4 linked regions of the Astyanax mexicanus genome follow. The protein of the gene in region 4 binds, or shares a complex with, the protein of the main gene of each other region. Links are inferred from orthologs where the notes say so. Each region holds a gene or a part of one and is shown on either strand. Other genes may lie near its edges. The genes, in order: cacnb3a, cacnb1, cacnb2a and cacna1c.

Region 1 (8,182 bases), on a different chromosome or scaffold from region 4:
AACTTTATGCCTTTACTCCTGGTGCAAAAATTCAAGCAGTTCAGCTTGGTTTGATGGCTTGTGATCATCCATCTTCCTCTTGATTATATTCCAGAGGTTTTCAATTTGGTAAAATCAAAGAAACTCATCATATTTAAGTGGTCTCTTGTTTATTTCAGAGCTGTATCAGCTTATATCTGTTCACAGGCCTGCACTGCATGTGAGCTCATGTTGTAAGCGGTGTGTGTTTCTGTAAGACAGTCGAGTGTTTTAACATCATAAGCTATTTTAGAAGCTTGTCTGAAGCGTTACAGGTAAAAATAGCTCATTTTGACGTTTGAAGTTATAAATAAAGAAATCAGAATCAGAACCAATACTGGTATGTTCAGTCTGGTAATATCAGAATCTGAGAAGAAAATGTGTCAGCATGTTGGGCTGCATGATACTGCAAAAACTGAAAGTGAGATATTTAGTTAAATATTGTGATCGATTAATGCTGGACAATATGGCCAAAACTTAAATCACAATATCTTTTTTTATTTCATTCAATACAATATAATTCCATTATTGACACGATATAAACTGATATGAGTAATGATTTGCATTATAATGGGTAGGTTTGCCACAATAGCTAATATATTGCCCCAGAGCAAATGGTGATAAATAATATTACTGTCACTTTAAGAGCATTTTATGCCCCTGGTATAATGATTAAATCATGGTATAAGAATACAATTACACTCTTTTGAAAAGAAATTAGCTTTTATACAACCAGAACAGTGGATGTGTGAAAGCTAATGTCAACACTGCCCTCTAGTGTTCAGGATTTAAAACTCAACACAAAATGAATCTGAGTCTGATAAGTTTATGCCACTCCTGATGCAAAAATTCAAGCAGTTGAGCTTGGTTTGATGGCTTCTGATTATCCATCTTCCTCTTGATTATATTCCAGAATTTTTCAATTTGGTCAAATTAAAGAAACTCATCATTAATTTTATGCGGTCTCTTATTTTTCTCCAGAGCTGTATATAATTTTTTGATGGTGATGATGAGATAGATGATGGTGAAAGTACTTCTGGTTTCTGCTTAATATTATGAATACCATCCTTCTCAATTTTATCCTAACATCCTCCCCATATCACAGGGGTACAGCAGATGAACAGATGGCGCTTACCTGGCGCTTAATGAAGCTGGACGTGGTGTCAGAGGAGGTGCTGCCATCCGAGCGTTTAAAGCGGCTTTTGCGTTTTGGCAACTTTCTCGGCAACTACATAAAAAAATACAAATTACATCTCAGAAAATGGGAAACATCTTCACAAAAACATGTGTTTTTCAAAATTTGGTAATTTGTACAAGATTTGAGGCCTAAAACCCTAAATGCAGGTGAAATAGGCCTATAACAAATATGAAGACTGGAACAGTAAAATTTATGAAGGCACAGTACATGTCTTAACAATAGCCACTGACAATATATTTTTATATATACATTTTTATATATCATATATAATATATATATATTTTTATATATTATATATATATGTATTTTGTTTGTCAGTAAACTGCTGGTTGAATTTGTATAAGACGGTGAAATAAAGTTTTTATGCTGCTATTACAATTATTTCACAAATTGTGCCATCCCTTCGAAAACCATTTTTTTTCCCACACAAACCACCTGTGCACCTGGGAATTAAATCTCACACCAACGTAACCTGTCTGGTATTACTATAATTCATCATTCTTTCTGTTTGCACCAAAAAGTCACTTTTAGTAGGACAGTAGTAAACTTTAGCTATATATATATTTTTTATAGCAAGCAGCTCCCTTCAACCTTACAAGCAGTTTTTACTGTATATTTAACACAGTGCCAGCATAACCTTATATTTCAGTTAAGGAAAAGTGCAAAATATGAAAATCACTGCAACATAAAAGAGTTTTTTTTGACAAAAACACAAGCCTATCTAATAAGATCCACCTGGCAGCATATCTATATGCAATTCTTTTTTGAAAATCACATTAAAATAGTCATTTGGATCAACAGAATTAATTAAATAAAGCCATTTCCTAGCATCTCACGTTTCACAGATGAATCCTACAAAACAGTTTTCTAATAACCTGCTTTAATAAATTAATGTAAACAGTCAGGGTTTAACCCCTGTGGGTCTGGCTTAACTAAAACCTAGAAACCTCATTTATTATGAGACATTCACATGCCTGATCTTGGTCCTGGTGCCTTGTTGCCCTGCTTTTACACACCACTGCTGCTTTAAAAAGGCTTATAAAAGATCTGGGGCGGTTTTCCCAAAAGGTTGAGCAAGCTTTACACTGAGCTCTTTCTCTTTCTGTTAAAATGTTTTTAATGCTAAGATGCTTTTGGGAAACTGGGCCCAGACTGGTTGAATCAGGTGTGTTGGGATCAGGGACAGTGATGAATATGTGCAGGGCAAGGAGGCACTGGGACCAGGGTGGAGGAACACTGGTTTAGGTCGAGCTTCACAGGAGGAACCTGCAGATAAAGCCTCCCTGCAGCCAAACTTCAGCCTGTGTGTTTACTGGGAGCGGTGGAGCCTCCTGCTGACTGGTGTGGATGGTGTAGAAGGAGGGTGCTGCTGCTGCTGATGATGATGCTTACAGGTGAAGAACTTTAAGTGATAAACGAGGTGAAGATGGATGGAGCTGTTTTTTCTTCTGAAAGAGGACAATTGTGAAGTGTTTTTTCGTGTATAAACACAAACACACACTCTCGTACCTACACACACACAGATAAGCTACACAAGCTAGTCAGCTAATTCCCAGCACAGCAGTGATGGAGGCCTCAGAGCTGCGGAGGAAATCTCAGCCCTTAGCTAAAGTGAGCTTCACCGGGTTAAACCGGGCTATAGGGCCGCTTCTCCTATCCCTGCGCCCGTAAAGGGCCGCGGTGCGGTAACGGCGGGTCTGGCAGCGTCTGCACGCCGCGGCTGTGGATCCAGCCCCCGGTAGGAGACGCTGCTGCTGCCCCGGAGCTCCAGCCCCAGCCAACCCAGAGCTGGAGAGACCCTCCCCGCGGCGGTAGTACAAGCGAGCGGCCCCGGCTACACCTACCTGAAAATAGTGGGACTGGGAGCCGGTCTCGGTACCGGGCAGCGGGTCTGCGGCCGATTTGGACATTTTCACTTGGACCATGTATCTGCGCGCGCAGGGCGGCGGGCGAGGGGCTGAGCGGAGGAGGCGGAGGGAGCGCGCACATTCGGGGGGAGCGGAGCGAGCATCCGCCCGCAGGAGCAGCGCTGGAGCCGGGAGAGAGCGGGTCTGATCCGCCGCGGAACCATTAAAAACCCGGAGCCCGGGGAGCACAGAGACCCAGCGCCGAGAGAGAGAGAGCCGAGCGATAGATCCGCATCCTCTCTCTCTCTTTACACCTCTCTATCTCTACCACTCTCTCTATCTCTACCTCTCTCACTCTACCACTCACTCTCTCTCTTTCTCCATCTCTCTCTACCTCTCTTACTCACTCTCTCTTTCTCTATCTCTCTCTACCTCTCTTACTCACTCTCTCTCTACTATCTCTCTACCTCACTCTCCCTACCACTCTATTTCTCACTCTCTCTTTACCAGTCTCTCTCCCTACTTTTACCACTGTCTCTATCTCTACCGCTCTCGCACTCTCTCTCTCTTACTTTTCTTTGTTTTAGAACTTAAAATGTGTGTGTGTGTTTTTTTTAGATATTTCGTATAATAAAGAATATTCCAGTTCCTTTCTAATACAACATCATGAACAATAAGTATTATAATAAATAAAAGATTAAAATGAAGAGAAAACACATCATCACCCCAAATTATATCCCCATCCAGTCCAGTGATTCAAACTGGAAGCAAATTCAGGTATATTTTACAGTTTTTCTGGATTGTTTACACACAATTTCTGGTACTTGAGACACTATGACCACAACATGTAACTTACACACCTACTGCTTGAACCAGTTCTGCTAAACTACAAGCACAATTCCTGATTTACACTCAAATTGCAGTTATAAAAAACACACTTTTTCAAAACACATACACAATTTTCTGCATTTGGCACAATTTTCCTGAATAAAATCTCTTGTTTTCACAAGGAACACACTGTTATTCAAAACTTTAAAGTTAATTACCCTACTATGCACACTGACTGGTCACATGGGCAAACACCCTTCACACAGGTTTACAATCAGCAACTTAAGCTTTAGCAGACCGAAACAGAAGACAGGATGCAGCATAGTTTTACATTATACAATAAATTCTTCTGTTGTTTTGTATGTAAACCACTGCATCTTTGTGGTGGTTGCATGGTACACTGTGTACATTGTTTTGGTTGGAAAAATAAAATGTATTTTTACTGTATATTTCTGTGTTCTGAGTATAAAAACGATATTATTAAATATTTTACAACGCACTTATGTATTTACTGTCTGTAGTAAGTGTAAAACTGAACAAAAAGTCATTATGATAAATGGAGAATAGTGTTTTACACTGAGAACATCAGTGTTCAACTGCTTTTTTAGCTTGTCTTTTTATATGATGGTGTGTGTGTGTGTGTGTCATCTGAACACAAAATACCCTTTTGTAAAGAGATAACACTTTTGAATGTAAAGTTTTATTTTGCAGGAGAACTGAAGGGTTTTGCCCATTGTGTGCGTGTTTGTTGGATTTGTGTGTAGAGTTCTGTGAATATGAGGCATGTTTTCAGAAAATGTGTGTAAACAATTCAGAAAAACTGTAATGGAATGGTTATTGGTTCTTTTAATCCTAATCGAATTGCGAGGCTTTGTTTTAATCTTGTTTCATAGCACCATCTGGTGTCCTCAAGACTGTATTACTAGAAATCCATACTGTTTTATTTTAAAGGGACTGAAAACACTTTCTAAAATATTACACTGAATATCTTCATACTTACCTGAGATAAATTTAGTCCTGTCATGCTAAAATTTCACATAGATGAAAACGATCAAAGGAAATTAAAACATATCTTTGAAACAAAACAAGGTCATAAATAACAGTTCAACAACTGCAACCTAAGCGATAGGTTTACTACAATTGTCCACCCTGTCGTGCAGGTTGCCATAACATGGTGAATGTATGCATGACAGGAAAATAAAAAGGCCAAAAGGCACAGTATTCTGATAATGAGCAGCTGAGGGACAAGTGACTACATCAGGATAATCTCTGAAGAATAGCTCCTTCCGTCCAAACGGAATCTCAGACCAGGGAGACAGCTTACCTTTCAACATCACAACAGCCTAAAGCACAACACGTACAACACTGAAGCAGCTTCAGGATAAGACTGTGTATATCCTTCAGTGATGCTGCCCCAGCCTAGACATAAACCACAATCGCACTTCTGCTATAGTCTGAAAACATTTGGGTTTAACATTAAAAGATGTACATAAGACAAAAGATAAAAAAAATAGATTTTTTTCCCCCAGATATTTCCATCTGGATCTGATATCTGACAGTTCAGAAGATAGCCCTTTTTTTAATGAATTTAGTTGTAATTCTTTGTTTGCAGTTACATCACTAACCATGTGCATTCTTCTTTCATTGTAGCAAGTTTAGGTGGGTTAGTTTTGGGGAGGTTTCTCCCTTTAGTCTTCTCTTTAGCAAGAAAAATGCATGATCTAAAGGGTTAAGTCTTGAGATTGACCCGGCCAGTCTAAAACCTTTTACTTATGACTTCCGGTATGGCGCCGACACTAGCAGCAGCTTAAGTTTCAGGCTCCCAGACGGTCTTACTCCCCCTTCAACAAATACTGAGGATTCAAGTAGATTTTTTTTTCTTTTTATGCCATGAAAGGGGGGCACAAGAGAAAGACAAGAGGAAATTTGGATCAAAACCCCAAAACGGACGACAAACCCTCGAATGTAAGTGAAAACGCCAGCGACGACGCTAGCAATCTCACCGAGTATCAAGCTATGGAAGCTATCCAAGCTAACATCATTACTGAGATAAAGGAGATCCGTTCGGACGTGAAAAAAGAACTCGGCGAAACTGTGCTTATGTTGAAAAAGGAACTGGTGGGCTTTAGAGAAGAAGTCAATCAGAAGCTGAACTCTATCAGATCTGACCTGAAAGAAATAACTGGTAGAGTCGAGGAGACGGAGCAGCGAGTAGCCGAAATGGAGGAGTGGAGCACCGAAGCTAAGCAGGTGCTCTCCCACACTTTGGAGCTCCAGGAGAGCATTCAAGCTCAGCTAACAGACCTAGAGGCGCGCTCACGCAGAAATAATATACGCATACATGGGATTGTGGAGGGAGCCGAGGGAGAGAATATGGAGGTATTTCTGGAAAAGTTTATCACAACAGAGTTGTCCCTCCCCGACGCTACCCTCGGTATACAGCGCTCCCACCGGTCTCTCGGACCCAAACCACCGCAAGGCTCTAACCCGAGGTCTATAGTGGTCTGTTTCCAGGAGTATAAAACCAAAGAGCTGGTGCTCCGCTCCGCTTGGAAAAAGAAGGAGATACACCATAGTGGCAGAAGGGTGTTTTTTGAGCAAGACTACCCGTCTGAAATACTGGGAAAAAGAAAAGCCTTTTCCACAATCAGGAAAGCGCTTAAAGAAAGGGGGCTCCGTTTCCAGACCATTTACCCAGCGAAACTCCGGGTCTTTTTGGACACCGGACCAATTGTTTACAACAGCGCTGCGGAGGCGAGAGAGGATCTGAAGAAAAGAGGAATAGACTCTCTTGAAGCTGAGGTCACTGAACGAGGCGCACACTCGTTGAGAATGAAAGATCTCTCATGGGAACCAGCGGGAGGAACATCACGCAGGCAACGCGAGGCTCGATTTAGGCATATTCAGGAGAAGCTGAAGGGATTCCGCCACCATGCCGATACTACACGAGAGCCCGCAAACATTTAAAGAACTGGATAGCTTCCCATAACATCTGGTAAAAGCACTTATTTAGTAACTTGAACACTTTGGACACTGAAATATAAAACTTACGTGAGAATTTCCTGTTATAAGCCCAAACTTTGAAACTGACCGTATGTCTGGTGATTGATGTTTGCGTTTTATGTGCACTGTTCTGATGCCGAACGGCCAGAAATACCAGATCGCACAGGGAAGGGCCCCTCTAGGTCGTAGGGCTTCCCTTCCTAATTCAGAAGTTGAGTTCATACTTCAGAAATGGAAGTCACTTTTGTTGAACTTGTGTATTAGTCAGTTAAGTTTCCTTTTATGTTTCAGGCAGATTCATTGTTCAAAGCATCTAGTGATATTTAAATACTGTGGTAAAGAGTTTTTCATTCTTTGACAAGGGAAATGCATCATCAAAAATATAAAATAATTACTCTTAATGTGAACGGGTTACATAATCCTATCAAACGAAGTAAGGCAATATCTAAAATGAAAAAAGAAAAACATGATATAATTTTTTGGCAGGAGACACATCTTTCGAATATTGAACATGAGAAGTTGCGAAAAATGGGATTTAAAAACCTATATTATTCTTCTTTTGAAAAGAAAAACACAAGAGGGGTAGCTATACTTATCCCAAACAGAATTAATTTCCAGTTTTCATCACAGATTATCGATAAAGAGGGACGTTACATAATGGTGAAGGGACTTCTTGATCACAAAGAAATTACATTGCTGAATGTATACAGACCACCAGGTAGCGATAAAAAACTGATTAAGAAGATTTTTAATATGATATTGTTAGAAACATCAGGGGTGCTGATATGTGGTGGGGACTGGAATATTCATTTACACCCCTCCTTAGACTCCTCAAGTAGAATAAAGACTATAAACCCTGATGCAAAATACATTAATAAATTACTTAAAGAATCGGGTTTGGTAGATATGTGGAGGGATCTTCATCCACTTGATAAACATTTCACTTTCTTTTCCCATGCGCATTCCGTTTATACAAGGATTGATTATTTTTTCATGTTTAACTCAGACAGACATAGGATTCTGAACTGTGAAATAGGGATAAGAGACATCTCTGACCATGCAGGTGTATATTTAACATTACATTTGGACAATATGCCCAAGGAGACTGCATGGAGGCTTAACACCAGTGTTCTGAATGACCCTCAGTGTGTAAAATATATAAAGAAAGAATTTGAAGACTACATGATTAATAACAATAATGAAACAGTAAGCCCCAGCATATTGTGGGATGCTGCAAAAGCTGTAATTAGAGGTAAACTTATAATGTGGACAGCTCAAAAACAGAAGG
Region 2 (7,894 bases), on a different chromosome or scaffold from region 4:
TCCCACAGCTTTCCCATAAGGCTCCTGTCACCATATATGTGCATATTGGGTGTGGCCTCTCCCTTACTTACCATGTTTGTGTTGTCTGCTGCCCAAAGCTACCTTATCCTTGGCATGCGTTAGTGTGATATATGTGTTGATAGTTGATTGCCTGTTGTAGGCTGGAAGAGCAAGCTACCTTTATTCTGTGTTTCTAGTTGTCACAGTATGTTGTCTTGGAACTATAGTGTTCATTCTTATATATATATATATATATATATATATATATATATATATATATATATATATATATATATATATATATATATAGGCAAAGTTATATATATATATATATATATATATATATATATATATATATAACTTTGCCTATATATATATATATATACAGTGGGTCCAAGAAGTATTTGATCCCTTGCTGATTTTCTTCGTTGGCCCACTAATAAAGACATGATCATTCTATACTTTTAATGGTAGATGTATTCTTACATGGAGAGACAGAATATTAAAAAGAAAATCCAGAAAATAAATCTAAGGAATATATATTAATTGATTTGTATTTCATGGAGTGAAATAAGTATTTGATCCCTTAGTATTCATTAGCAGTTCTGGCTTTTACAGACCAGTTAGACACTCCCAATCAACTTGTTACCTGACCTGAAGCCACCTGTTCTCACTAATCACTTGTGTGAAAAACACCTGTCCACAGAATCAGACAGATCACACAGATTTCAAGTCTCCAACATGGGTAAAACCAAAGAGCTGTCACAGGACCTCAGAGTCAGAATCGTTGACCTTCACAAAGCTGGAATGGGCTACAAAAAGATTAGTAAGGTGTTGGATGTGAAAGTAACAACTATTGGTGCAATTATCAGAAAGTTTAAAGAGTATAACATGACAATCAACAGACCTCGGCCCGGTGCTCCAAAGAAGATTTCGCCTCGTGGGGTGGCAATGATGCTGAGAACGGTCAGAAATCGTCCTGCAACCACTCGGCAGGAGTTAGCAAATGACCTGAAGGCAGCTGGGACCACAGTTTGCAAGGAAACAATTGGCAACACTTTGCGCAACAATGGATTCACATCCTGCAGTGCCCGAAAGGTACCCCTGCTGAAGAGAGCACATGTGGAGGCGCGCCTCAAGTATGCCAATGATCATTTGAAAGATGAACCAAGTTATTGGGAGAAGGTTTTGTGGTCAGACGAGACCAAAATTGAACTTTTTGGCCTCAACTCCACCCGCCATGTGTGGAGGAAGAAAAATGCTACCTATGACCCCAAGAACACTGTGCCCACCGTCAAGCATGGAGGTGGAAGCATAATGTTTTGGGGGTGTTTCTCTGCCAAGGGTACAGGGCTACTTCACCGCATCACTGGGAAGATGGATGGAGCCATGTACCGCAAAATCCTGAGGGACAACCTCCTCCCCTCTGCCAGGGATCTGAAAATGGGCCGTGGTTGGGTCTTCCAACATGATAACGACCCTAAACATACAGCAAAGGATTGGCTCAAGAAAAATCACATTAAGGTCATGGAGTGGCCCAGCCAGTCGCCAGACCTCAATCCGATCGAAAATCTATGGAGGGAGCTGAAGGTCAGAGTTGCCAAGCGACAGCCCACCAACCTTCATGATTTAGAGAGGATCTGCAAAGAAGAGTGGGCCAAAATTCCCCCTGGTGTGTGTGCTAAACTTGTGGTTAACTACAACAAACGTCTCACCGCTGTGCTTGCAAACAAAGGCTTTGCCACTAAGTATTGAGTGTGTTTGGCAAGAGGGATCAAATACTTATTTTCCTCATTGAAATACAAATTAATTAAAATTATATTCTTTAAAATTATATTCTGGATTTTTGTCTTGATATTCTGTCTCTCCATGTTAGAATATATCTACCATTAAAAGTGCAGAAGGATAGTGTCTTTATTAGTGGGCAAACAAAGAAAATCAGCAAGGGATCAAATACTTCTTGGACTCACTGTATATATATATATATATATATATATATATATATACAGGTGCTGGTCAACGAATTAGAATAATTTGAAATAGTGCAATCATGAAATTCTTTGAATGCATTTTTTGTGCAGAAAGCAAATCAGGTGTTCACCGCACCTGTCCTACTCGTTAGACTAATCACAGAACTCGTTACCTGGAAAAAAATTTGCTCAGCTGAGCTTTCCAAAAGGCCCATTTAGGCCATTTAACTGTGACACTGTTGTTTTATTGAATTAGAATAATGGAGAAACCGTTTCATTGAATTAGAATAATTTTTATTATAATTACAATCATCACTTTCTCAGTATTTTGTGGCTGCCCCCTTGGCTTGTATGACTGCCTGAAGTCTCCGCGGCATCGATTTGACCAGCTTGTCGCAAGTTTCCGCACTCACAGCTTCCCAGGCAGTGGCGATGTTCTGCTTCAGTTGGTCCAGCGTAGTAGGCTTTCTGTCGCGAATTTTCCGCTTGACGATGGCCCAAAGGTCTTCAATGACATTGAGGTCAGGCGAGTTGGCCGGCCATGCCAAAACTTCAAGCTGTTTTTAAGTGAACCAATCTTTGGTCGACTTTGCCGCATGAGCGGTGCAAGATCCTGTTGAAATATGAAGTCTTCTTCGCCGAACTGTTCCTCAACAGTCGGAATCAGGAACGTTTCCAGAACATCTTGATATACGGCAGCATTGACCGTCTTCTTGAGGAAGCAGAGTTTCCCTACACCTCGAGCGGACATGCATCCCCAGACCATAACGCTCTGGGAAAACTTGATGGATCTTTTCACGCACTCGTGGTTGTAGGTTTCGCCACCACGACGCCAGACACGAGGACCTTGGTCACCGAAGGAGATGCAGAAGCGTGATTCGTCACTGAAGACCACTTTCTGCCAGTCTTCAGCAGTCCACTCGCCGTGTTCTTTGGCCCACTTCAGCCGTTTCTCCATTTGTTTCTTGTTCAGCATCGGTTTTACTGCTGGAACGCGAGATTTGAAGCCGAGTTCGCGCAGACGACGGTAAGTGGTTGATCTGGAGACGTCAGCGCCGGTCTGCTTGTTCCACAAGTCGGTGAGCTCGGAAGTGGACTTGAACCGGTTGCTGACTGCGATCTTTCTCAGCTGCTTGTTGTCGCGAGCAGAAGTTTTTCGGACGCCGGAACAGTTGGTGCGCTTGCTGCAGTTTTTCTTGAGAGCTTTGCAGACGGAAGACTGGCTGATGCCGAGCTGCTCAGCAATTTTAGTTTGGGTCAAGCCTTGTTGGCGAAGGGCTTGAATTTGAGCCACTATTCCGGTTGAGAGGTCGCGCTGCTTACCCATGATTGATTTTACAACTTAGAAATTCTACTCAACCCTGACTTTATACTGCACAGTGAACACTCTTCACAGAAAACAAAAATTCGAGCATTTATTCTAATTCAATGAAACGGTTTCTCCATTATTCTAATTCAATAAAACAACAGTGTCACAGTTAAATGGCCTAAATGGGCCTTTTGGAAAGCTCAGCTGAGCAAATTTTTTTCCAGGTAACGAGTTCTGTGATTAGTCTAACGAGTAGGACAGGTGCGGTGAACACCTGATTTGCTTTCTGCACAAAAAATGCATTCAAAGAATTTCATGATTGCACTATTTCAAATTATTCTAATTCGTTGACCAGCACCTGTATATATATATATATATATATATATATATATATATATATATATATATATATATGAATATATAAGCAAATTATACTAACAGATGCAAATATATACAGTAAACAGCAACGAGAATTTCTCATTTTTAGGTAAGTAGGTTGTGTCCTGAGCCAATCTGTAGAACAAAGTGTAGTTCCACATTTCTCCTGGATGCCAGCATGTGTAAATGTTCAGTTCTGTTAGCAGCTTACCTGATTTATCATCAGTATGTTTTGATTCGCCAAACCAGGTGTTGATATGATGAGAACTAGAAACAACACTACTAAACTTGAATGAGGGGAGATTAGGAGATGTTGTAAGGAAAACAGTGATGTTAAAGCTTTTTGCTGTTGATTCAAGTTATCATCTGGCTTTGATTAATTTAAGTTGAATAAACATGTACATGTACAACTTAACTAAGTCAAATCAAAAGGATGACTAAGTTAAGTTGTATAGACTTAAAATTGTATATATTTACAACTTAACTGAGTCAAATCAAAATGATAACTTGACTGAGATACATTCAATAAACTTAAAATTCTATATATTTACAACTTAACTGAGTCAAATTAAAATTAAAACTTGACTCAGTTAAGGTGAATATACTTCACATTGTATATATTTTCAATTTAACTGAGTCTAATCAAAATGAAAACTTGACTCCATTAAGTTGAATAAACTTCAAATTATCTATATTTACAATTTAACTGAGTCAAATCAAAATGAAAACCTGACTAAAATAAGTTAAACAGACTTTAAATTGTATAAATATATTGAACCAATAAAAACAATTCAGTGTCCCTAAAGCTGCAGCGCGTGAGTTACAGCGCAGGAGCCGTTCAGTTGTATTAAGAAGAAATAATAAGAGGAACAAGCCCCGCCCCTTCGCCGGGCTGATTGATTGATGTGTGAAGAAGGGCGGGGCGTGGTCTCTCCGCTTTAACAGCTGGGAGGCTGGAGCTCCAGTGGAGAAGCAACACGGTGGAGCGTACGGTGCGACCAGATGAACATGTTCTGACAATGAACGCAGAGAAAACCGGAGAAAACAGCCAGAGAAAATACCCAGCGCGCTGTAAATGAAACACCAGACCACGGCTTAGCAGTAGAAATCAATGGTACAGAAAGGCATGTCCAGGACGCCTTCCACCTCCACACAGGAAATCCAGATGGACATGTTCGACCACCACGGATCCCACTCGCAGGTAAGAGAGAGAGAGAGGAGAGAAAAACGGGATGCACACCTGCTGCTGATCTGCTGATGCTGTGGATGCTTTGCTTTGCTTTAAAAAGGAATGTAGTGTGTGTGTGGGTTAGTTTTCTGCTGTGTAGATCAGTCCTATACGTTAGCTTAAGTTCTTACTCGCCTTATCTGCTGTGTTTTATCATGAGAAAATAATATAAATTTAAAAAACTCACAACAAAGAACCCAGCAGTTAGCTAAAGCTACTTTAGCATTGACAGCATTTATATCAGTGAATATACTGTACATATAACATGTTATATATGATTTGTTAAAGAGCTCATTTGCTCAAGACTCCATCTAAACTAGGTTAGCTTAACCTCCCCCCTTCAGAAAATGTCTTATTCACGCTTCAATTGGAAATATATAAGCTAATATAAGGCTGAAACCAACCTGTACTGCTTTCACAAGGCTCTCTGTGTGTGTTTGAATTATCGGACAGGTGAATATTAAGCACTTTTAGTGTAGTAATAAATAAGCGCTCAGTGGGTCTTGTTCCAGTGTGTGATGTTCCATAGCATATATAAAACATGATGTCATTTTGCTGCTACTGCTGCTTGATACATTATGACCACGCCCACGTGTAAACACACAAACATACGTACACACTCAAACACACAAAGTGTTGTTGGTATATACAGCTCTATACAAAAAATAAGAGACCACTTTAGTTTCTGAATCCGTTTCTCTGATTTTGCTATTTATAGGTATATGTTTGAGTAAAATGAACTTGTGATGAGTGTTGTTTTATTCTATAAACTACAGACAACATTTCTCCCAAATTCCAAATAAAAATATTGTAATTTAGAGCATTTATTTGCGGAAAATTAGAAATGGCTAAAATAACAAAAAAGATGCAGAGCTTTCAGAAATCAAATGATTAAGAAAGAAACAAAACAAGTTCATATTGTAAAGTTTTAATACTTCAATTAATAAATCAATATTTGGTGTAATAACCCTGGTTTTTAATCACAGTTTATATGCATCTTGGAATGTTCTCCTCCACCAGTCTTACACACTGCTTTTGGATAACTTTATGCCACTCCTGGTGCAAAGATTCAAGCAGTTCAGCTTAGTTTGATTGCTTAATTTGGTGTCCAAATGTGGTAAAATCAAAGAAACTCATAATATTTAAGTGATCTCTTCTTTTTTCCCCAGAGCTATATGTGTGTACACACACATAAACACTCACTCACTCACACTTAGGCTACTTGTCATATAACCTACCTTTAAGAAAAATGCTCTTCTAATTGTTCCCTTTTAATGAGTTTCATTTGAAAGAAGATTTGTTACATTGGTTTAACAAACTTAAATCAAAGGTTATTTACTAATTAATATCTTCTTTAAACAAATCACAGCTCATTTTTGAGTATGAAACTTTATCCAAAAATGAATGGTTCTTAGGGGTATGCCTTGTATATCGTATGATACACAATATTTCGTGACAGAATAATATTGAGATTTTGAAAAAAGCCATTTCTTAACAATAGCAATATCTTGAAAATATCATGATATTATTTTAGGGCCATATCGCCCACTCCTAATATTTATTCTATGCTGTGGCATTGCTCAAAGAATAATGTGTAGCACCTTTATTATTAAATATGTAATACTAAGTAGAGATCTTCTTTATTTTACGTCTTCGCTATATTCTTTAGGCCCATTTAGTCCAAACTATGTTTCCAACACAGATGCACATAGCCTTGTCACAATAACGATGTGTAGATGATATATTGCCCCAGAAATAATTGTGATAAATTATATTATTGTCATTTTATTACCAAAATAGTTTAATAAAAAATGCTAGCAAGTTAAAATATTGTTTCTCAAAAATGGATTTACAGGAACCTGTTGAACTTTTAATGGAAGTTATTATAAAAATGTTACTACATACTATTTAGTCTGTGATCTCATTACATGGTTTTTGTCCTTTCTTGCTTTTAAATGTCTCACATCTTCACAATTTGCCCTAGTCTGTACAATTAATAAATTACGACTAATCAGCAAAAATAGTCACTTCACATTTCACTGTTTGTTTATAAAGATTGTCACTAAAGTGTGGATATTTATATACATCATACCCCACTTTTTAGCTGCCAGCAGTTTATCCCTACCTTTTCACCCTGAAGTTATAAGAAGTGTTTCAGCCTGGGCTGTATTTAGAAATAAATAAAGCACAGTGTGGCCAATCAGAACAGTCAAAAAAGTTTCTTATTGAGTTATGAGAAGTCTAGTTGCTAAGTTGCTGCCAATATGATCCTAGGAACACCAGTTTGAAGCAGCCAGAGTCAGAGAGAACTAAAATGGGCATGCTCTCTCTCTGTGAGTTCTGTCTTTCCTCCATCACTCCTAACTAAATGTTGGTCCACACTGGCTACTGTTGACTGATGTATCAAGAGCTGGGTCACTGTGCTTTCCTCTGATCATCCTGGCTACTCAGTAATGCTAAATCAGTGGCAGTTTGAAAGGAGGCAGTGGCTGCTTTCACATGTATCGGGTGAGGCATGTACAAGTCTTCACCCTCTTTGTGTTAGGGGTATTGCAAGTGATGGGTGATGGGGGAGGACTAAGAAGTAGGTCTTCCATATTGGAAAGAAAATGCTCAAATGATCATACAAAACCTCACAAAAATGAAACAGACAAATTCAGAATTTGGGCCCTTTAATTGCTTCAAGTTATTAGTCATTAAGAAACACTATATTTTGCTTTTAGAGTAGGGAAAAAACACTGAAATTTGCAGGGCATGGCATCCTAAGGAATAACTACGAGAAGCTCTGTTGAAGTACATTTATTTGAGGGAAATTCTGCTTGAATCCTGGCGTGGGTGACAGCGTGTCTCTGATTGAAAGCAGAACATTCACCATTCAGAGCTGAACAGAAGTGGACCTGCTGTCATGTACTCTCGTTGTAACCTTTTCCGGTCGTATTTCTCTTCTGCTTTCCTCTGCTCTTTTTTTTTTTTTTACACCTATTCACCATTCCTTTAGATCCAGGTCTG
Region 3 (8,688 bases), on a different chromosome or scaffold from region 4:
CAGGGTTGCAAAGACAAGACAAAACAGAGAAAAGAGAAAGGAGAGAAAGCCTTTAGAATAGGGGTGTCCAAACTTTTTGTTGGGGGCCAGAAGGAGAAATATATTTGAAGTCACACTCTGTAATAAAACAAATCATGAAATATTCCACTTTAAATAAAACTTTTTTTCCTGACTATTTCATTTACACGCCATTTTACTTGACTTACTATCATTATCTTTGACAGTGTTGTGTAAACTAAGATTTTTCAAATTGATGTTTAATTTCATGATGTCTCTTAATATTAAACTCCTTAATTACGGCAACTTTTAGACTCTTTGGCCTATTTTTCTGCGCTAGAAATGCGCACCCTCTCCGCTTTTAGACTCTTTGGCCCGTTTTTCTGCGCTAGAAATGCGCACTCTCTCCGCTTTTAGACTCTTTGGCCCGTTTTTCTGCGCTAGAAATGCGCACTCTCTCCGCTTTTAGACGCTTGGGCCCGTTTGTCTGCGCTAGAAATGCGCACCCTCTCTGCTTTTAGACTCTTTGGCCCATTTGTCTGCGCTAGAAATGCGCACTCTATCCGCTTTTAGACTCTTTGGCCGGGTTGTCTGCGCTAGAAATGCGCACCCTCTCCGCTTTTAGACTCTTTGGCCCATTTTTCTGAGCTACAAATGCGCACTCTATCCGCTTTTAGACTCTTTGGCCGGGTTGTCTGCGCTAGAAATGCGCACCCTCTCCGCTTTTAGACTCTTTGGCCCATTTTTCTGAGCTACAAATGCGCACTCTCTCCGCTTTTAGACTCTTTTGCCCCGCCTACGCTTATATACTCTTTGGCACGTTTTTCTGCGCTAGAAATACGCACTCTCTCCGCTTTTAGACTCTTTTGCCCCGTGTTTCTGCGCTAGAAATGCGCACTCTGTCTGCATTTAGACTCTTTTGCCCCGTTGTTCTGCGCTAGAAATGCGCACCCTCTCCGCTTTTAGACTTTTTATGACACCTAGCGTTCAAACGTTGAATCTCACATTATAAAAACCTGCTTAACAGCGGGCCAACTTTCATTCTATTTCTAAAATACCTCGCGGGCCGCTCCAAAAAAGGAAACGGGCCGCAAATGCCCCACGGGCCGTTTGGACACCCCTGCTCTAGAACATATATTTTCAGCTTTTGCTTGTTTGACATCTTGTTCATCCTATACATCTCAGATATCATTATGCTGTTCCATTAGTGTATTACTGTGGCACGCAGCCATACATGCCCAAACCATGCCACTCCCACCACCATGTTTCACAGACATCTGGACATACTGCCCTCTGTATTTTCTGTTTTTTGAAGTCTTTTGCAGATACACACCTACCTCCTAAATATACATTAACAGACAGCCAATTGACAGTTTATTTCTCCCAAATAAGATTCAAGACATTTGATTTTAGTAATCCCAAAATTTACGGATAGGTAACCCCAAGTTTGTTCTCTCATGGTTTTATTTTTATTTTCTGTTCTTACAATAGCTTCTTTGACTTTCACTGGCACAGATTGATATATAGGCCGAGAGACGATTAGACAAACATATAGATATGTTTCTGCTGTACACTAAAAAAACATTTGGGTTTGACATTAAAAGATGACACAAATATGAGACAAAGGATAAACATTTTAGCCCTTATTGCCCTATTTTACCACACATCTCACTACCACCACACACCGTACTACCCACCTCACTACCACTACGATCATCACTACCACACACCTCATTGCCACACGTCCCACTACCACCACCTCATTACCACACACCTTACTACCCCATACCTTAATACTACTCATCATTACCACCAGACTCATCACTACCACCACAATCATCACTACCACACACCTCACTACCACTACAATCATCACTACCACACACCTCATTGCCACACATCCCACTACCTCCACAATCATCACTACCACACACCTCACTACCACCACAATCATCACTACCACACACCTCATTACCACACATCTCACTACCTCCACAATCATCACTACCACACACCTCACTACGCCAAACCTTACTATTACTCATCACTACCACCAGACTACCACACACCTCATTATCACCACACTCCTCACTACCACACATCTCACAATCACACCTCACTACCCCAAACCTTACTACTACTCATCATTACCACACATCTCACTACCACCACACACCTTACTACCCCCACACTCATTACTACCACACACCTCATTACCACACATCTCACTACCACCACACACCTTACTACCCCAAACCTCACTACCACTTCAATCATCACTACCACACACCCCATTGCCACACATCCCACTACCACCACACACCTCACTACCACACACCTCAATACTAATCATTACCACCAGACTCATCACTACCACCACAATCATCACTACCACACACTGGTAATCAACATTACCACACATCTCACTACCACCACACACCGTACTACCCCAAACCTCACTACCACACACCTCACTACCACTACGATCATCACTACCACACACCTCATTGCCACACGTCCCACTACCCACCACCTCACTACCACACACCTTACTACCCCATACCTTAATACTACTCATCATTACCACCAGACTCATCACTACCACGACAATCATCACTACCACACACCTCATTACCACACATCTCACTACCACCACACACCTTACTACCCCAAACCTCACTACCACACACCTCACTACCACTACAATCATCACTACCACACACCTCACTACCACCACAATCATCACTACCACACACCTCATTACCACACATCTCACTACCTCCACAATCATCACTACCATACACCTCACTACGCCAAACCTTACTATTACTCATCACTACCACCAGACCTATCACTACCACACACCTCATTATCACCACACTCCTCACTACCACACATCTCACAATCACACCTCACTGCCACCATACATATTACTGCCCCACACCTCACTGCCACACTCATCACCGGTCTAAACTGGTTTCCTCTTCTCAGTCAGTTCTGAACTGATAAAGACTCTGGAGCCCTCCCTACCTGCACCGCGGGGTTCTCCACTCCGTCCAGATGTTTCTCCACCGAGTTTGAGGGTGTTTTGGGCATGCTGGTTAAAACCATTGGACAGAGTGTGGAGAGGAGCGGTCAGACAGGGCGGCTGAAGGCAGGTTTAAAGGCCGGTTCTGTAGTTATCTCTCAGTCCGCCGGTGAGAGAAGAGTGTGGAAAAGTTTACAAGCAGACTCTCAGACTGAACCCGCCCCCCGGCTTCAGCTCAGCCAGCATAACCGAGCGGCTTTGAGAGGAGCACGCGCTGTGGAGAGAGACAGGAGCGCGCGCTGCCGCTTATGAGGGTCCGAAGCGCCGCGCGTGGACTCCCCCGCCTCTCCATTCCGCTCACGCGCACAGCAGAGCCGAGTTTAGAAACGCGTGGAGTTTAGAGTCTGTGAATCTGTGAAGGGGCGGAGTTATAAAGACCATCATAAGCGTCTTATTACATTAGCTGAGACTAACGAAGCCCCTAACCTTCAGGTTTAAAAGATTCTAAAAAAAAAAAAAAAAACTTAAAAAAAATGATCAGTTTTTTTTATGTACGAAGTTTAATCTTTTTGAAAACTGACATGACCAATTAAAAATATATATTTGAATAATTTTGAAAATTGACTTGGCATTTCAACGTTGAATAAACGTTGAACCAACGTTAATCAACGTAGATGTTATGGTTGAATCAACGTTGATTTTGAAAAGTGAATCAACGTTGATATAGCAACGTTGTTTTAATGTCATACATTCAACATTTAATAAACCATAGCTCACTAAAACTAGAAAATCCTATGGTTTACAAAGTGTTAACAATAAACTTACACCACTGTAGTAAAGCTGAGTATAAAGAAAGTTACTCATGCCAATCTGATTTAACATCTGATCTCAAAAACACTAAAACAGTAAAACTATTAAAACAAGATGATTATGTTAAATTAAAAAGCAGTTCGTGCAAATAGAAGTAAAACACTTTTTCATTTCTCCATCCAACCGTTTGTAGAAATGATATGGTGATGAAATTTAAAATGCTGATTCAAAAGGCAGAAGGTTGAGGACATTATGTTGATTCAATGTTAAAATTTCAACGTTAGCACAACCATTGAACATTAAATGTTTATTCAACGTTGTTTCAACGTTGAAACAACACAGTACATTGTTTCAGTCATATTTCAACTACAGTTCAACGTTAAAGGTCGGTTGTGTGCGAGCTGGGACGTTTTAAAATAGACTTGAAATACTTTAAAAAATGATTTGAATCTTTTAAAAAAACAGACTTGAAAAACTTTTTGTTTTTTTTAAATGATCCAAATCTTTTTAAAAATTCATTTGGCAAATACAAAAAAAAACAACAACATTCAAATCTTTGTGAAAATTGACTTGACTTGACATTCCAATACATTTGCAATACATTTGCATTAAGAGCATTTAAGAAATATGGGGGCTGATGTTAAGAGAGTTAGAAGTTCAGAGTTGACATGAAAAAGTATTCAAAGGATTAGGTTAGGGTAAAAGTGCCTTAAAAGTGCCATCACTTGAGTCTGTTTTACCTTTTTTTGCATGTATCTTTGACTGAAGACTGTTTCCTTGACTTTTTTTCTCCCATCAGTTTCTACCAATGCTGATACTCCCAGGCAGTGGCAGATGTAGGATTTGTTTTAAGTAAGGGCCACAAGGGCCACAGTAATAATAGAGGAGCCAGGTATTATTTAACCAGTCTCACCATGTTCAAACAAAAATGTAATTTAAAAGTTAATTTTGTGCCAATTTTGTTTTTCATTATTATTTGCATATGGACTTTGTCAGTCTTTGCTTTTATTTATGTGTTTTTGTGTATTTTATTTAGACTTTGCTTCTGGAATCTATTTTATGCTTATGTATGTATAATCTGTAATTTTGATTTGATATTTTATATATGTTTAAACTTTTGGCACAAAATTACCAATGTTACATGATTTTTTGCTGTATATAGAGTAAAATAATCTCAAACACAATAAATCCTGCATTTTATTCATTTTTAAAAAATGTTTTACTTTTTTATAAAATGTCAGTTCAACATCTAATAACATCTCTCCTAAATAAGATGTAATCATGCTGGACATTCTTAATTGGCGTTTGGACATGAAATTGCATCAACCTATAATCTGATGTTTAGGACAGATGAGTAAAAAGGGCACTTCAGGGGGCCAATTAGATTTCAATCTGGGCCATTACGTACCAACAATCACGCCACACTCAGAATCACATTTTCTCTTCTTATTGTTAGTTTTACCTTTAACTAAAACTGCCAGGCTATATCTGCTGACACACAAATGGCTGATGCAATAATTAGATAAATGAGCTGATTTGGAGACACAGCTCTGGAAAAAATAAGAGATTGCTTAAAATGATGAGTTTTTTTATTTTACCAAATTAAAAACCTCTGGAATATAATCAAGAGGACAATGAATGATCACAACCATCAAACTGAGCTGAACTGCTTGAATTTGTGCACTCGGAGTGGCATAAAGTTATCCAAAAGCAGTGTGAAGGAGTGGTGGAGGAGAACATGCCAAGATGCATAAAAACTGTGATTAAAAAACAGGGTTATTCCACCAAATATTGATTTCTGAACTCTTAAAACTTTATGAATATGAACTTGTTTTCTTTGCATTATTTGAGGTCTGAAAGCTCTGCATCTGTTTTGTTTTTTCAGTCATTTCTCATTTTCTGCAAATAAATGCTCTAAATTACAATATTTTCATTTGGAGTTTGGGAGAAATGTTGTCTGTAGTTTATAGAATAAAACATCAATGTTAATTTTACTCAAACATATACCTATAAATAGCAAAATCAGAGAAAGTGATTCAGAAACTGGTCTCTTTTACAGAGCTGTATATCCAATAAAGTACTCACTGAATTCATATATATAATATAAAAATGTATAATATAAAACAGACACTGTTGTTATTTGGTAATATGAGACATGTATGCATGACATTTGTTCTGAATAATTAAACTGTTTGTGTATTTATTAAAATATAATAAATAATATATATAATGAACAAACCCAGACTTATTTAATTGAAAGAGTAAGTTTAATACCATATATGTTTCTCAGGAATATTAATATATACACCAGAATATTCACTAATAGAGTTAAAGATTTAACAGGGTAATGAGAGGCTGCAGCAGAAGCCCCAGTAAATGTACAGCCCATTTGTCAGCATAGCTCTCTCTGCTGGTTGGTGTGGGAACTACAGCACAGTAGTAATTTTCACAATAAAAACAAAATACACATTTAAAACTACTCAAAAACAGTCCACAGTATCAAAACATTTATTTCATGTGATCAGCACATCACGCTGAAGTGCTGTGTTGTTTGAGAGGCATGAGAAATGGCTGAGGCTTTCACCTGCACTAGCAAAGTAGTCATTTTGCTATGATAGAACAACAAAAAGCATTGTTCTAAGTAGAATGAATATAGATTACAAGTTTAAAAAATGTGCACAAACAACCAACAGCAGCACCTCCACTGTTAACACTGTTAACGCTTTATACACAGTATTCCATCCAGCACTGATTCTTTGTTGTTTTACCACCATCCTGAAAGGTTGAAGGTCACCTTACACAACAGAGGTACGATATGAGTACTTTTTTGTACTCAAAGGTACACTCTTCATAATTGTACCCTCAATGGTACCATATTGGTCTTTACAGGGTCAGATTTGTTCCCGCTGAAGAACAAAGTAATTTCTAACACCAATAAGTACAAATTTGTACCATTTAACCAGACAAAAGGTACATTCAGTATTCTGTATCACTGTACTAATTAACAATAAATATTTTAATTGCACATTTTTCATTTGAAAGCCAGAAAAATTTGGATCATCAAATTTTTGAGCCATATTTAGTTGATGATAATGTTTATAATCTTTATCATCTTTATTGGCACAAAAACCATGGGTACAAAAAAGGACTTTCACTGAAAGGTACTTTTTTGTACCTCAATATAAGGTACAGCCCCAGCGACAAGCTTTGTACTCTTTTAAGTACAAATCCGTACTTACTTTTCTTAGTGTGTAATCAGAACCTCTGGTAGCAGTGTTGTGCTCACATCACTGCTAAATTACTGACTTAGAAATTATAAATCATTATTTCTAAAATCAGACAAACAACAATCTTACTTTATTTTTTGCTGTATATAGAGTAAAATAATCTTAAAGACAGAAAATCCTGTATTTTATTCATTTATTCAAATACTGTCAGTTTAACATCTAATAACATCTCTCCAACATAAGCTTTAACCATGATGGTTAAATTCTGATGTTCATTCTTGAGCAAAGGACAGATGAGTAACAAGGGCACTTCAGGGGGCCGATTAGATTATATCTGGGGCCAGAATGTACCAACAATCACGCCACACTCAGAATCACATTTTCTCTATGTTCTGATTGTTAGTTTGAACTTTAACTAAAGGTGTTATGGGTGGGGGTAGTGCACTATAGGCTCCTGTGGTAAACCAGTACTTTTACATTTTTATTGAGTAAATGCTTATGTTGACACTTCTACAAAAGCTAAAATAAAAATAATATGTCATCAACAGCGACTGTAATGTTTAAATTAAAGAATTATATACCATCTACTACTGAGTCTTGTTGTCTGTTGTGTATATTTATGTATATATGTGTATGTATGTACATATTAATATAAAAATTAATTAATTTATACACTTATTAATATGCTACACCATATGTCTGCCTTTGTTAAAGAGCATAATACATAGTATTTCAGCATGAAAGCAGGTATTTGTAATGTGTGACAGCATCCTGAATCATTACTACATCTCTGCTGTTTGTAATAAACCATACCATTGTGATTGACTTGTGATTATTATTGGTGTATCATTCACCTGTCTCAGTGTAAATTAATGCACTGGTGGCGCAGGTTGCCACCTCCAACATGATGGTTACGCTGACACACCAGATCCATGCTATATGCTGCAAGAAATTGCTGTAGGCAAATTTAGTTATTTTTTGCAAATATGTTATGTCATCCTAAACTAGTAAAAAATGTATTAATTCTGATGCCGTGTCAAAAGAATAGTTTGTTTCAATTATTGATTTAAAATTAATTACTGAATTGTAAATAAATATGTTTGTAAGTATTTTCTGTCTCTATAACTTTTCATACTAACAATGTTATTATTGAACATTTAGAACTATTCTCTCTGTTATAATATATACAAAGTTGCCTGGCAAAGCTAGGGACATAGGCCATGTTATTTTCCATTCACACAAAGAAAAATATATCCACTGGTTTGTCAAAATAAATAAAATTATTCCTGTGGGCATCAAACACTAATAAAGAAAATGTTAAACCACATGGAACTATTTAGACACTGATCTTCATGAAGTAGTTTAGAAGTGTTGACAATTTGTTAATGTAAGTTTATAAATATTAATACTGAACAAAAACATACTGCAGTTTCTGTTTACAACTAATTATTCCTCCCTGTTAATTAATGCCTGACATTGATGCCAGTCTGCCATTATGTATTGCTGCAATAGTAAATAAATTATAATAGGTAATGTGATCACATTGTAAGGTACAGACCATAATTGGAATATAGGTATGTAAAATGTTTTTTTTTAATTATAATATTTTAAAAAATCTATGTATAA
Region 4 (8,232 bases):
TAACAATAATAATATTATTAATAATAATAATAATACTAATAATAATAATAGTATCCTAAGCTCTACTTCTAATGGTTGCTCTGCTTTGCGAATTGCTAGTGCTTTATGTCTTGTATTGCTTTTTGTTTTTAATTTCCATTACTTGAATATTATTTTAATTATAATGTCTTATCATTGTCTTTTAACATTGTTCTCTGTTATGTCTTAAATGTATTTCTTAAATTTCAATTTCATTCATTTTAATTCTTTTAGAAACACATTTTTCTAGCTGTAACAGCAATTTTACTCTAATTCATTTTGTTATTTTTTCTTCTTTTCTATATATTGTTTTAATCTAGTTGAATCTTCATTATGTATGCTTTATTTATGCTTTATTCTTATTCTTATTTTATATTTATTTCCATTTAATTGTTATTCTCTTACATGTTTATTTTGACTCTCTGTGTATTTTCTCGTTTGTAAAGCACTTTGAATGACCGTTGTGTATGAAAGGTGCTGTATAAACACCCCTTTCCTTATGGTCCAGTCACTCCAGTCATACAGTCTAATATACTAGCCAAAGAAATATCATATTTCAGTAGAAGATGCCTCATTAATCTTATTTTAAAGACATGTACAGTTTGAGAACTTTGTAAATCTATATGAAAATGTCATTCCTTATCTGCACACCTTTACAAACTGTAAATTAGAGTAATAGATCAACAGTTTTGCATCAGAGAGAACACTAGCTGCTTCTAAAGGGAAAATACTCATATAATACTTGTATTAAAAAGTACTTTTAGACTAACTGTTTGTTCTGTGGTTCAGACGTGGTTATTGGAGGAATACAGAGGAGCTCCAAGGCTAACAAAAGAGAATAAAATCTATAAGAAGAGTGGAGAATGTAATTTATGTTGCTTTTATATATAATTAGGTACCACTTTAAAATATGGTTAGTAATTGGTTTATAAAGGAGTTTATTAATGGTCATTAATTCGGCTATGAACCATTAACAAGCAGATACAACACCAAATGATCTTACTTATTGTCTTTTCCATCAGTCATCATTAACATTTCTGTAAATAACTTTATTCATTTAGCTATAATAACATATTAAAGGACTGAACTGACTTTCTATTGTATTTTTTTATTACATGTTAAAAACGTTATTGTCACTGTTGTTCTTTCTATTTATGTGCTTATCAATTATTTTTTTAAGTATTTAAAACGTTACAAACATTAATTAAATTCTTTCTAAACTATTTATAAACCCTTTATGAAGGAGCTTTATTTTAAAGTGGAACCTATAACTGTTAGTTGTGTGTTTTGTTTAAAAGTGTGTGTGTGTGTGTGTGTACAGTGTGTGTGTGATGGTTATAGGATGTTTATAGGTGGTGGGGGGTTTATCTCTGGGGGGGTCAGATGGTCTCTGTGGTACTCTGTGATTATATACAGGATTTCTGCTGCAGTTTAATGAGTGGTGCCTGATTTAGGCCTCTGTTGGTATTTTAGTTTATTTTTTTATTTTTCCACTGAAATAAAATCTATAATTAGATTTTCCAGTGGTGGTGATAATGGTACGATGTTCGGGTTTCAGTCGGTTCATGAGAACAGCTTTTCTGCTGCTGATTATCTCTATAAAAATAATTCTATTGTTTAGTTTTTTGGTAAACTTTGTTGCTGGTTTCACTGCAATCTGAATAAGTGAGGATGGTGGATGGATCGAACTGAATGATTTCAGGTGGAATAAACTCTATACATGTTCTAATATAAAAAGTTATATCAAGAATTGCTATTATTATTACCAAACAGGATAAACGAAAGAATTAATTATTATACAAAAAAGTATAGTGGTATGAAAAATAATACTATAAAATCTAGCAAATAAATTAAATTTCCTGAAATAATTAATAGTTTTTCTTATTTCCACTGCATTAGAATCATAAGTGTAATATTTAAAATTTAAAATTAAGCTTTTTATTTCATAAACCATCTTAAAACTATAAAAAAAAAACATGATTAAAAGTGGTCCAAATCACTTAAATCATTAAATTAGCAAAAATAAAAAAATAAAAATGTGCTGTTACTTTGCCTCAATATCTCTAGTATTACCATTTTACCAGTGTTTTTGCAGTGGGCGGGGCCAAGTTACTGTTTTATTGGTTTATAAACTTATTTATTGGCTGGTTCATGATCTATTCATTTAAAATTTAAAACATTTAAAAATAAAGAAAATACATGATGTCCACTCTAATGGATGTACAGGGTCTGAAAGGGTTAATATTAAATAAAATAAAAAGGCAAAACACTAATTAAATATAATTAAATATAAAGGAGACATAAGATTGTGCATCACTTTAAATGGTGCTGTTTTTAGCAAAAACTAATACCAAAAACTGAAGTTGTTATATAAGAAATAAAAATCTAAATCGTATATTTGAAGAATATTGAGATAATTATTTGTCTTTTTATAATATCGCCCAGTCCTTACTACAGTCACGGACAAAAAAACAGGACAATAGGTACAGTTTTAAAACCCTGTGCTGTAGATTTTACAAGTTTCCCCCGTACCACTGTTAAATTGCTTTATTTAAACAGTTTTAAATAAACACCGCTCTGCTAAAAGCTCTTAAAGAAACAGACAATTTATGGTGATTTTAGTACAGCGGCACAGTGATAAAAATGAAATAATAATAAAGAATTGACCACAGTTGTAACCCAATCTATTTTAGTTTCACTAAACTAAATCAGGACGTCTCTAAAAACAGTAATTTTATTTATTAGAAACACTTACCTTTTCATCAGTTCAGCGATGCGCTGGCAGTCCTCCTTATCATAGAACCAGATCCCATAGATGGACACTGTAGGAAGAGATATCATACAACATTTTAAGCAATGATTTGAGTAAATAGGTAAATTAGAAATAAAGAAAATATCAATATTTTGATATCTTAAATCTTATGATACAATACTAGTGATAGGGGCATAGAGTTACCCATACAAAGAAATCACAATTTTTACACCATTAACAAACTCAAAGTAGCCTAAAAATTAATTCTTAGGAATGAGTTTCAGTAACCATTAAACCAAACTGAACTGCTTGAATTTTTACACCAGGAGTAAAGCAGCATAAAGTTATCCAAAAGCAGTGTGTAAGACTGGTGGAGGAGAACATGATGCCAAGATGCATGAAATTAAAACTGTGATTAAAAACCACCAGGATTATTCCACCAAATATTGATTTCTGACTCTTAAAACTTTATGAATATGAACTTTTTTTCTTTGCATTTATGACAATATTTTTATTTGGAATTTGGGAGAAATGTTGTCTGTAGTTTATAGAATAAAACAACAATGGTCTTTTTTTTCTCAAACATAAACCTATAAATAGCAAAATCAGAGAAACTGATTCAGAAACTTGCAAGAAATGCAAAGAAAACAAGTTCATATTCATAAAGTTTTAAGTGTTCAGAAATCAATATTTGGTGGAATATTCCTGGTGGTTTTTAATCAGTTTATTTCATGCATCTTGGCATAATGTTCTCCTCCACCAGTCTTACACACTGCTTTTGGATAACTTTATGCTGCTTTACTCCTGGTGCAAAAAATCAAGCAGTTCAGTTTGGTGGTTTGATGGTTTGTGATCATCCATCTTCCTCTTGATTATATTCCAGAGGTTTTTTAATTTGGTAAAATCAAAGAAACTCATAGTTTTTAAGTTACAACAAGTAAATGGCTCCCATTGGATGGAATGGCTCAATAGCAATATTAGCTTGGGTGCTGTTGGTTGGCTGCTGTCGGTTGGGTGCTGTCGGCTGGGTGCTGTCGGCTGGGTGCTGTCGGCTGGGTGCTGTCGGCTGGGTGCTGTCGGCTGGGTGCTGGTGGTTGGGGTGCTGGTGGTTGGGGTGCTGGTGGTTGGGGTGCTGGTGGTTGGGGTGCTGGTGGTTGGGAGCTGTTGGTTGGGTGCTGTTGGGTTGTTTGGGTGCTGTTGGGTTGGTTGGGTGCTGTTGGGTTGGTTGGGTGCTGTTGGGTTGGTTGGGTGCTGTTGGGTTGGTTGGGTGCTGTTGGGTTGTTTGGGTGCTGTTGTTTGGGTGCTGTTGGGTTGGTTGGGTGCTGTTGGGTTAGTTGGGTGCTGTTGGTTGGGTGCTGTTGGTTGGGTGCTGTTGGTTGGGTGCTGTTGGTTGGGTGCTGTTGGTTGGGTGCAGTGTTTCAGGAACACATGCTGTGGTCCTGACAGTTTGAGAAGGACCACTTCCCCTCACCTCCACTAATCTACAGCCCGAGCGAGATACCAGAACCCAAATTGGGACGGAGGAGATAACAGAGATAACTCCACCGCTCCGCCTGTTAAGTGGGGGGAGGTGGAGGAAAAAAGAAAGATGTAAAAAAGAAAGAACAAACTCTTCACTGCTGCAGCGTCTCCACCACTCTCCGAGAGCTCTGCTGAGCTTTAAGTAGAGTCACTGCCTGGGTCAGCGCTTGGGAACGAACCCAAACAAACGACTGATCCCTGGGAAAGAGGGAATATTATTCACATAGCTGGGTGAGAGAGAGAGAACGAGGGAAGAGCCAGAGAGAGAGAGAGAGAGCAACAGAGAGAGAGAGAGACTCACTGTAGGACAAGGTGCCATAAAAAGCGAAGTTGGTGGAGTGCAAGAGGACAAAGAGGAGGAGGCGTACGAAAGTACGTACGGAAGCACTATTAGAGTTCTTCTTCTTCTTTTTTCTTTATCTTTATCTTCTTCTTCACGTGGAAAAACAACATCAGCAGCAGCAGCAACTACATCTCTTCTCGAACTCCATCTCCATGAAACGAGTGCAGAACGAGGGAAAGAAGAAGCCAGACACAACTTAAGACCCCAGGAAACACATGGGCGCATTTTTCTCGAAAATCTCGCCGCGTCTTCTTCGCCGCTTCTTTTCTCCATCGCTCGAGCTTCAGCAGCTTTAAGGACGTACGTATCTGAGGGATAACTGAGGGATAACTGAGGGATAACTGAGGAACAATGCTACGCAGGCTTTTCCAGAGGAAGCTGAAGCACCAGCGCTTGCAGGAGGAGCCAGAGGTGCGCTTCAAAGGGAAACTCATCTCCGAGAAAGAGCTGGGATATACCTACGTAAAGCCAGGAGGTAAGAAACCGAACTCGAGACGCCTGCCTGCACTCAGGCATTATTAACCCGAGCGATGGTGTTTGTATTAAGAGCAGAGGACATTCTCCAGCTCTGCATTTCTGGCGTGACTGTGTAGGTGATGGATGAGCCGTTTGCTACCGAAGTTGAACGGCAGCCCAACAACAGTAGAGAATCCAAGATATCCTGCTGTGTAAAGCGTGCAAAAAGTTTCAGGGGTGGGCGATACGTCCCTAAAATTACGATATTCACAATATTTTATTGTATTTTCGCAATAATGAAACGAAACTTCTGACTTTTGTTATAAATCTGAAAAAAACTCTTGTATTGTTTAAATATCTCTATTGATATTTATGACAGAAAACCCCTCCTGTTACTGAAACTCACTCCTGTTACTTTTTATATTTTGAATAACAACAGGACTGAGTTTTTTTAGCATAGAATTAGCAAAAACATGAAAAACAGCTAAATATCGGCTATGCTAACAGCATGAGGACACTGCTACCAAAGTTGAAGATATCCTGCTGTGTAAAGCGTGCAAAAAGTTTCAGGGATGAGTGATACTAAAATAACGATATTCGCGATAACGAAACAAAACATGGTGATATGACAAAACACTGAATTAAAAAAATATTTTACTATTGTATGTGATATGAAATGGCACACCCTTAACTGAGATATTTAAAAATAAAAAATAATAATAATTATAAGAATGAAATAAAGAAATCAGTATAATGGTGATATTGTATATCCATTCTAAAAATCACCAATCAGCTAAATATTAAAATATATATATATACATATCATGTATCTTCATTCAGCTAAAAAATATTGATACATATATACATATATAATTTTTTTTGCTGAATTGCGATATACAATATTTATATATCAATATTTTTTAGTTGAATGAAGAGTTTTTACAATACAGCTGAAAAAAAATTAGATAAATAAATATCGTATATGACCATTTAGCTAAAAAAAAAAAAATCAAAATATATATATGGTATATCACCAGTCAGCTAAAATTAGTTTTGAGCCATATCATCAAGCCCTAGATAAAATACAGTTTTACTGACTGTTTCCTGTGATCATTTTACAAATATTCACCTATAAAACAGCTTTTTCTCAATGACATCACCTTTTCTCACAGTGAGCTCCACCTACCCGCCGTACTTTACAGTGTGTGTGTGTGTGTGTGTGTGTGTGTGTGTGACTCAGAGCAGGGTTTTGTTATCTTATCGGAGCTCTGTGATTGGGTGAGCTAATGCTGGCAGTGTTCTCTCAGCTCTGCCGCTCACATTCCTCCACACCATAAAAGGAGCTGTGGCTCCGGGTTCCTCTCCCTCAGCCCTGTCCCACTGCCAGCTCTCCCTCTCCCCCAGCACCTCCATCACCTACACCACCTCCACCTACCATCATACAGCACCTCCATCACCTACACCACCTCCACCCACCACCTACATCACCTCCACCCACCACCATACATCTCCTCCACCCATCATCATATATCTCCTCCACCCACGTCATACATCTCCTCCACCCATCATCATACATCTCTTCCATCTCCTCCACCCACCATCATACATCTCCTCCACCCATCATCATACATCTCCTCCATCACCTACACCACCTCCACCTACCATCATACAGCACCTCCATCACCTACACCACCTCCACCTACCACCATACAGCACCTCCATCACCTACACCACCTCCACCCACCACCTACATCACCTCCACCCACCACCATACATCTCCTCCACCCATCATCATACATCTCCTCCATCACCTACACCACCTCCACCTACCATCATACAGCACCTCCATCACCTACACCACCTCCACCTACCACCATACAGCACCTCCATCACCTCCACCACCTCCACCCACCACCTACATCACCTCCACCACCTCCACCCACCACCTACATCACCTCCACCCACCACCATACATCTCCTCCACCCATCATCATATATCTCCTCCACCCACGTCATACATCTCCTCCACCCATCATCATACATCTCTTCCATCTCCTCCACCCACCATCATACATCTCCTCCACCCATCATCATACATCTCCTCCATCACCTACACCACCTCCACCTACCATCATACAGCACCTCCATCACCTACACCACCTCCACCTACCACCATACAGCACCTCCATCACCTACACCTCCTCCACCCACCACCTACATCACCTCCACCCACCACCATACATCTCCTCCACCCATCATCATATATCTCTTCCATCTCCTCCACCCACGTCATACATCTCCTCCACCCATCATCATACATCTCTTCCATCTCCTCCACCCACCATCATACATCTCCTCCACCCATCATCATACATCTCCTCCATCTCCTCCACCCACCATCATACATCTCCTCCATCACCTCCACCCACCATCATACATCTCCTCCATCACCTCCACCCACCATCACACATCTCCTCCACCCATCATCATACATCTCCTCCATCTCCTCCACCCACCATCATACATCTCCTCCATCACCTCCACCCACCATCATACATCTCCTCCATCACCTCCACCCACCATCACACATCTCCTCCACCCACCATCATACATCTCCTCCATCACCTCCACCCACCATCATACATCTCCTCCATCACCTCCACCCACCATCATACATCTCCTCCATCACCTCCACCCACCATCACACATCTCCTCCACCCACCATCATACATCTCCTCCATCACCTCCACTCACCATCATACATCTCCTCCACCCATCATCATACATCTCCTCCACCCATCATCATATATCTCCTCCACCCACGTCATACATCTCCTCCACCATCATACATCTCCTCCATCCACCATCATACATCTCCTCCACCCATCCTCATACATCTCCTCCATCACCTCCACCCACCATCACACATCTCCTCCACCCATCATCATACATCTCCTCCACCCACCATCATACATCTCCTCCATCACCTCCACCCACCATCATACATCTCCTCCACCCACCATCATACAGCTCCTCCATCACCATCATACATCTCCTCCATCACCTCCACCCACCATCACACATCTCCTCCACCCACCATCATACATCTCCTCCATCACCTCCACTCACCATCATACATCTC

The links.
Region 1: cacna1c (region 4) and cacnb3a share a complex: the UniProt entries of both Homo sapiens proteins name them as parts of the calcium channel complex. The link is inferred for Astyanax mexicanus from reciprocal best matches to the Homo sapiens genes CACNA1C and CACNB3.
Region 2: cacna1c (region 4) and cacnb1 share a complex: the UniProt entries of both Homo sapiens proteins name them as parts of the calcium channel complex. The link is inferred for Astyanax mexicanus from reciprocal best matches to the Homo sapiens genes CACNA1C and CACNB1.
Region 3: cacna1c (region 4) and cacnb2a share a complex: the UniProt entries of both Homo sapiens proteins name them as parts of the calcium channel complex. The link is inferred for Astyanax mexicanus from reciprocal best matches to the Homo sapiens genes CACNA1C and CACNB2.

Annotation. Positions count from the first base shown.
Region 1 is NC_064420.1:16,644,955-16,653,136, reverse strand, and holds the start of cacnb3a (voltage-dependent L-type calcium channel subunit beta-3a), read right to left. Parts: upstream 3,709-8,182; 5' UTR 3,142-3,708; coding exon 3,061-3,141; intron 1,247-3,060; coding exon 1,154-1,246; intron 1-1,153. UniProt on the Homo sapiens protein: Regulatory subunit of the voltage-gated calcium channel that gives rise to L-type calcium currents. Increases CACNA1B peak calcium current and shifts the voltage dependencies of channel activation and inactivation.
Region 2 is NC_064426.1:27,356,147-27,364,040, forward strand, and holds the start of cacnb1 (voltage-dependent L-type calcium channel subunit beta-1), read left to right. Parts: upstream 1-4,598; 5' UTR 4,599-4,768; coding exon 4,769-4,858; intron 4,859-7,894. UniProt on the Homo sapiens protein: Regulatory subunit of L-type calcium channels. Regulates the activity of L-type calcium channels that contain CACNA1A as pore-forming subunit.
Region 3 is NC_064415.1:32,755,997-32,764,684, reverse strand, and holds the start of cacnb2a (voltage-dependent L-type calcium channel subunit beta-1), read right to left. Parts: upstream 3,333-8,688; 5' UTR 3,109-3,332; coding exon 3,028-3,108; intron 1-3,027. UniProt on the Homo sapiens protein: Beta subunit of voltage-dependent calcium channels which contributes to the function of the calcium channel by increasing peak calcium current. Plays a role in shifting voltage dependencies of activation and inactivation of the channel.
Region 4 is NC_064409.1:1,369,942-1,378,173, forward strand, and holds the start of cacna1c (voltage-dependent L-type calcium channel subunit alpha-1C), read left to right. Parts: upstream 1-4,916; 5' UTR 4,917-4,985; coding exon 4,986-5,109; exon of another isoform or gene 5,110-6,783; intron 6,784-6,806; exon of another isoform or gene 6,807-6,951; intron 6,952-7,023; exon of another isoform or gene 7,024-7,256; intron 7,257-7,297; exon of another isoform or gene 7,298-7,834; intron 7,835-8,154; exon of another isoform or gene 8,155-8,232. Other genes in the region: dcp1b (mRNA-decapping enzyme 1B), read right to left, coding at 2,774-2,840. UniProt on the Homo sapiens protein: Pore-forming, alpha-1C subunit of the voltage-gated calcium channel that gives rise to L-type calcium currents. Mediates influx of calcium ions into the cytoplasm, and thereby triggers calcium release from the sarcoplasm.